2 linked regions of the Drosophila melanogaster genome follow. The protein of the gene in region 2 interacts with the protein of the main gene of each other region in a pairwise test. Each region holds a gene or a part of one and is shown on either strand. Other genes may lie near its edges.

Region 1 (3,661 bases), 7.7 Mb from region 2:
TTTGCATTTATACACAGAAAAAACTGTGATAAAGAAATGATTATATTATTGCAATAGGTGCAATTGAGTTTTAAAGAAATAAGTTCTATATCACATCATTATTATATTTATATATGTTTACATACATTTTAATTTTTAGTTTTATAGCTACCAATGTTACCCAAAAATACTGTTGAATTTGCCAAATCTTTCTTCTTCAAATCTCTAATCAATTTCGTCGACTTTTTTCGCCGTGTAGCATCCATTTGTGGCTTTGTTACAATCTTTCCGTTCGCAATGTGCTCCGGTTCACCTTTTCGGCCCACTTTGTCAGCTTCTTCCTGCCCGCTCCTCCACTTGGCCTCCTTCTTGGTTGCTTATTTTTGGCTTGAAAACGCGAGTACAACGCACCCTCCACATTCCATGGCTTTCAAGATTAAAAAAATGGCCAAACCGTTAAAAAAAGGCATAGTTTTTACATCCTAATTGCCAATACTAACCACTTTTTGACTGACTTTGTGTAATTTTATTCACAACTTTTACACTTGCCAACAAAAGAGTAACACTTATCGCGAATGTGTGCCCTTTTCGCCACTTGGCAATTAAAAAGTTGTCGCCAGCAAAATTAAATTAAAATGAAAACATTTGTCAAATCGAGACTATACAGTCATCGCAAGGAGTCCACAGACATTCGCGTGAAGAATTGAGAATGCAGCATTAGAGGAGTGACAATGTATTCAATGTATATTTCAGAAAAAAAGCAATTATAAGGCGAACAAAACATTACAATGAAATCCGTACGCTAATGAAAGATCAAATACTTGAGCAGCCATTGCCCGGCAACAACACAGCACAAGCTGATCAATATTTCCCATAGGGGGGGCACACTGCGCTCCAGAGGCATCAATCCACGTCGCTTCATATCTAATTTAATGACATACACATCGATGGTCATGATGATGGCAAAAAGCGGAACGAAGATATTATTCTTATGCGGAGTGATCTGGATTTAAACAATGGTTGCAGTAATTTATTACAATGGTACAATAAGTGTGTACATATTGTAAATCTTTGTACTTACAAATACAATGGAGTATATCATTAGCATGTACGCTCTCACCAGTAAAAAGTGTGTGAGGGCTCGAAAGCGCCGCGAATTGAAGTCCTTTAAAATCAAAAGATTGCTTGGCCATCCGAAGAAAACGATCATGAAATCTATAAAATTTATTAACTACGAATTTTGGTTAGGTGCAATTAGTCCTTTACTTGCTGCCCACCATTAAATAAAGGGCTACCATTTACTCACCAATCGAAGGACACCGATGTTGAGGGTATAAAAGAATACCAATAAATCGATACTTTTCGAGATTTTCCAGTTGATGCGCCTTTCGCAACATGATAGAGGTATCTTGAGATTGGTGTGCACAACGCGGCAAAAGTGATCACTGATCTGCTCGAAGAATGTCATGCCGAAATGTACAAATAAATTTTCCAAATTTATAAAAGAATGTATAAATAGGTGCTTCGTTCAAGTCAAAGGGGATGACTGACTGAAAGGCAATGAATGAAAATCGAAAACGATTTGGGCATTAAATCATGGCCAACTACTCCCGCTGGCTGTGCAAGGACACTTGGCCTTCTTCTTGGTAGCTTATTTTTGTCTTGAAAATGCGAATAACTGGCAATTTCTGGCCGGGTCTTCCACACACCATACCACACTCTACACAGCACACACACCGCACACACACCGCGCCGTCGACATTCCATGGCTTTCGCATGGCTGGAATCTGGGTAAATGTTAATTAAGCATCATTTACGCATTCAGGCCGCCATAATTTGCAGCGACAATGACACTGACAGCGCCACAATGTTGCGACAACTTTGACAAGCCCGCCAGCCAGGACACAGAAACGGAGTCTTGGAGTCCTAGAGACACGGAGACACAGAGCCCGACCCTTTACCCCATTTACCCATTTACCACACTGTCACTCGGCACGCAGTCAAATTTAATGTAACATAAAAGGTTTTCCATTTCATTCACCATCCTACTTAATGTATATCTGGGACGTAATGGTTCCATTAGGACAACCGCAAATGTTCCAGAACATTGCAGTTGGCATTTGCCTGGATGTCTGGGGAAAAGAAATTGTTCAATAAGCAGATATCTGAAAGAAACGATTGACTTGGCTGGTAGATTGTTCGGACTACGTGGCTTATGACAAATGTTCAAAGCTCAGTGTTACTCACATTACGTATACGCGGTGTAAACCATGCCCAAGACTAATAAAAGAACAAAACTTGTATGTTGTTTTACATTTGGGGGCAGCTTATAGATATTTTTATAAATTTATTATTGCAGAAATCTGGGTAGAGCGGTATGGCCTTATCTATGTCCTGGTCCTGGCAACGATTCCCCTTTTGTCCGAGTCCCGGTGCCACACCATCTGCTGTTGGTGTCCCACTGTCCTACCAAACGTCCAATGGCCGCTTATCTTTCCCAGACAATGGACAATGTGGCCGTGGATTAGCTCAGCCAAACGGTTATTTAGCGGCGTCCAGAGCGAGGATTGTCTTCACCATTCACCTCCTCCTTTCAAGGACTCCGCCAAATTGTGGCCACAAAGCGGCCGGGTGAAGTGCGCCCAACAGCTGGCCAACAAAATTCAGAGATGGCCAACAATACATCCAACAATGCCAACGTCCAACGACCAACACAAAAAGCAACAAATCGCCAACTGTAGAAACAAAATAATAATAAAGACAAGCAGCAACATGGAATGGCGGAGCACAAAACCGAAATAGCAAATAAAATTGCACAGCAAGGATGAAAATGGAACGAGTGCAGGAAAGGAAGAAGAAGACAAGGAAAGGAGCTAGGGAGTCCTGCAGAAGAATTACGTTAAAAGCCAAGAATAACGATGGTACAAAGAAATTCGGTGGAACAACACGTGACTTACCCTAAGGGTTAAGTAAAATAAAAAAATAATAATTATTAACTTGGAGTATTACTTTTTTTTAATTAAGTTGTTGGATGAACAGGTATTGTGTACATATGTACATATATGTGCTTCACAGTCATTGCAATCAAAATGTAAACACTATACTAAATTCAACACAATTTAAATTTCCTTGTTTTATGAATATGTTTATACTTTTGCATTGCTTATACACATTTACACATACACTGCAAATACTATACAATATGTGTATTATATTTAATTAAACTAATGCTAAAACAGTTAAAACCGAAAATAACATCACTCGATATTACAGGGTATCGCCGATAAAGTAAGAGGGCAAGTTAGGGTCGCAAGTCGCGCACACATTTCTCACACCAAATGCAAATAAAACGACGCCTTGGAATTGAAATAGAAATAGAAAATTGCCAAACAAAAATGGCAGCATAAACTTTTGCTGTTTGCCACTTCCGTACGTCATTCGTTCTGCTTTCACCTCCTTTCTCCGTAGGTCGTAACTCTCGCACACACACACACACAAAATAAGAAAGGAGAAAGCGAATAAGACACAGTGGCACATATACGCACAAAAGTCTGCTGCTTGTCGACATTTTGGTAATAAATTGAGTTTTATGGCAGTCATATTATTCTTTATTAGTGGGTAAGAATTGTTGCCTTTTGTTGGCTTTTGTTGCCGAAACGATGTCTCAACCAGGCCAACATCC
Region 2 (3,850 bases):
TGTAATAATTGCACTAATTTTGTTGTACTTATATTTAAGATATGTACCACTTAAGCCATTTATGATGCTGTATGCGAAACTTAAAATAAGAAAAAATTCAAATCAAAACACAACAAAAAGAAATAGAAGAAACTCCATTTCCCATACTATATCCATCAGTCCCAGCCCAAGTATAAGTATAGGGTTCTCTTTACGGGAAGGGGAGTGGCGTATTTGGGTGGTCCAAACCGGCCACTTCAATTATTTCAAAAAAAACAGTAATGCTTTAGTGATTTTCCATAATGTATCCCATTTGCGCAGCATCATGCATTCCCCTCTGGTGATAAATTTTTTGGGGAGTCCTATATACTCCAGCCAAGCTAATTACGCAGTTTCTGAAAAATGTTAACGTAAACACATTGGGTTGGCCATTTCAAGGTCCAGACCTCAACATAATAGAAAACCTCTGGTCATATATGTATAAAGAAAAGGCGTGCAAACATATCTAGGAGTCGCGAAGAAACGATTTTGGAAATTCAAGCCTTATGGAAGTATATTTCAATAGATTATAACCACAGTTTGGTACACTCTGTACCAAAACGTCTCCAAAAGTTGATAGACGCTAAGAGAGGGTATATTTTTTATTAATTTGTTATAATTTTTTTGTTGATTTTTTTCTTTTAAATTTATGACATTTAAATAATCCATATGATTATTTTACTACATATATACATATACATATACATATAAATACATATATATGTATATGTATATTCTACATATATACGAAAATTATTAAACAATTTCCCATTAAGTAAACAATGAGTTATAAACAAATATATTGAATGTATTTATTGTCTAAATACTTATGCCCACTTTTGTTGTGTCGACAGCAGCCAACTCCTTTTGATTTCATAACAGCAAAATCGAATTCTGTAGCCTTTTATAATTTAAGGCCGCAGCACTAACAGCCCTCTATCTCGGTCATTTCTATGCAATGCATGTTTTTAAGTCCACTCTTCGCTTCTTGATCGCTAAGCATTATTGTCAGCGAACTTTTTTGTATTGTTGTCGTCGCTAGTCTAAGCGCTAATTAACTAGAAATAAAATTTATAACGTTTCAAAAGTAAATAAAAAACAATTAGTTTCAAGAAGTCACCTCGCGAAATTTGTCATGGTGTGCAATACCTAGTCCATTTCCATTTTTGAGGATCATTTATTTGACTAGCTGGATCATTTATTGACTGGATCATTTATTCCACTGGAACGCCGTCAATAAAAATGTGTTTTTGGGGATATACATATATTCAGCTACTCTGTCTGCCGTGGAAGTAGGATGAGACGTCCCTGGTTATCAATGTTAAGGCGGAACGGAGACAGCATTTCTTGGGTGTCACGCAGGATACTGGGGTCCTGCTTAGTGGCGTGATTGAATCCATAAAAGATTAGCAGGCATATGGTTGCCAGGGAGAAGGCAAAGGCGCTTTGACTGGACAGGATTTGGAAAACCACCGACTCGCTTTCCTTGGCATCCCGAACCCAATGACAGGCACTGATCGCCGAGCAGGCGAAGATGGCGCCCAGAACAAAGCGCCAGCGGAGTGAACTCCGTTTCTCAGTGTTTACCACCTCAGCCAGCCGACGCTCGAAAGCCAGCAGGTCTTCCTGATCTGTGTCCTCCATTCTGTTGCTAAAGGAGTTGACTCTAATGCGGTCCCCTGGGCGCTGCAATGCTGATTGCCCCGTTAATTACTATTTTACGAACAGCAGCAAGGCCGCATCATTTGCAGAATTTTTACTGACACGATAATAATTTTTTTCGGTAAAGACGAAATCTGTTTGAAAAAAAAGACAAAGTAATAATGATATGATTTTCAAGAAACGAGTGCTGTGATGGTTTCTATGCTTTCACTTTTACTTCCTTGTAAAAAGTACATACATTGAGATTGTAAAATATCCACTATTTTGCCTATAATGTAATGCATTATCCCACCACATTTAAAATAAATGTTTATATTGTTATATTTCGTTTAGATCACCATAGTAGTAAACAAAGAAACTAGAATGTATGCGTAGAAATGAAACGTTCGCTGTACAGCTTTCCGCTCTCTCGCTCTTGAACAAAAATTCGAGAGACCCTGGAGCCACCTCTAGAGCCACGCCAAAAAAAAAATCGTATGGCGTTACGCATTTTGTTATTGTAGTGTCTTTGTTGTAACTCTCTCCGTCCGTATGAACGTCGAAATTTTGGGAACTATAAAAGCTACAAAGTTAAGATTAATCCTGCAGATTCTAGTTATGCCTAAGATTGTTGATTTGATTGAGTGTTTCACATTGAAAAATTTTATTTTTATAGAGCCATCACGCGAGTGCATATAATTTGGCTTGGAATGTTTTTCAAAAACATAGAAATACATTGCATTGCACGACGGAATTCTAACCATTTTATACCCGTTACTCGTAAAGAAAAAGGATATACTAGATTCGTTGAAAGTATGTAACAGGCAAAAGGAAGCGTTTCTGACTATCAATTTCTCAATTTCTATATAGTAATAATGTTGACATTTGCCTAGTTTCTGAAACCTGGTTAAAAACATCTTACAACACGTTAAAATACGCAACTATAGCTGTTATTGAAACGATCGAACAGTCAAAAGAGGGGGAGGGGTTGCAATATACATGTATATAAACAAGTATTCGCCATTTCCTGCTACCTATTGGCGTAAATATTTTTAATATAGTTGGCACTCAGACATTTATTTAGTCTTGTTACTTTCCATGAGGTCAAGTAAATCCTCAGAAAAATCAACTCTTTTTGTCCGACATTCGCCAATTAAGCAGCGCAAATGTGCCTTATATTGTAGGAGGTGACCTAAATTGCCGACACCAGTCTTGGGGATGTCGCCGGGCAAACTCGTGGGGTAACCTGCTAAAATCCAAAGTTGACAGCAACAACTTTTAAATACTGTATCCCCTTGACCACACCTATATGCCTGCAGGAAAGCACGGTCAACCATGTACTCTAAACTTTTTCCTAACAAATCGCCCACAATATCTTATAACTCCGCGAGTAATAAACACTCTCAGTTCAGATTATTTACCTGTTCTCCTAGAAGTTACTAATGACTAGCCACTTACTAATATCTTCGTTTGCTTTGACATAAAGAAAGCCAATTCCTTTGCAAATTTCAGCCTTTTAAGCTAGTTAATTTTTAAAAATATACCTGATTAGCAGTGTCCTGTTCCTTTAAACGTCGACGAAATGTCCACTCACTGATTGCCTTACGTTCACTTTTCGGAAGGCTGGAGGTCAGATTCCACTGCGTTGCAACGGCCTGTTCTTGTTTAGGTTTAAGTCATTATGTTTCTTAAACTTTTTAATTTGATAATACACAGCTTGTCGCGACACATTAAACTCATTTGCAATGTTTTTTACTTTAATTCCAACGTTAAACTGTGCAACCATTGATCTAATAAATAAACTTAACTTAGCCTTTTTACCCATGGCTATCAATTAATTTTTTGTTTTTTATTAAAGTTCAATATCCAAAAAAGTTCAATTTAAACAATTGTTGATTAACACGTGCTCAAAAGCAGAACACCATTTACTAAATGAGTTTGTCAAAATATAATGCCAAACAAAAAATTATCATGTTTCATTAAGTTGTTTATAACTTTTTAAGTTTAATTAAAAACACAAAAAAATACAAAATAATCAATACTACCATATCAAACCATTTAAAAGTTTCACTGACAAATGTGCAGCGTTTATTTTGTCCAAATACTTATGCGGACTAGTGTATATTGGAGGAAAGTTAAATATCAATATCCTAACTTCAAAGCGAACAGTCGTGTTTTTTTTTTTTTGTGC

Evidence for each region.
Region 1: the proteins of Cnep1r1 (region 2) and CG32588 interact in a two-hybrid assay, tested with the Drosophila melanogaster proteins (one large-scale study listed by BioGRID).

The regions. Positions count from the first base shown.
Region 1 is NC_004354.4:15,205,109-15,208,769, forward strand, and holds CG32588 (uncharacterized protein), read right to left. Parts: upstream 1,529-3,661; 5' UTR 1,448-1,528; coding exon 1,286-1,447; intron 1,211-1,285; coding exon 1,061-1,210; intron 983-1,060; coding exon 782-982; 3' UTR 699-781; downstream 1-698.
Region 2 is NC_004354.4:22,943,297-22,947,146, reverse strand, and holds Cnep1r1 (CTD nuclear envelope phosphatase 1 regulatory subunit 1), read right to left. Parts: upstream 1,827-3,850; 5' UTR 1,663-1,826; coding exon 1,291-1,662; 3' UTR 1,139-1,290; intron 1,077-1,138; 3' UTR 808-1,076; downstream 1-807.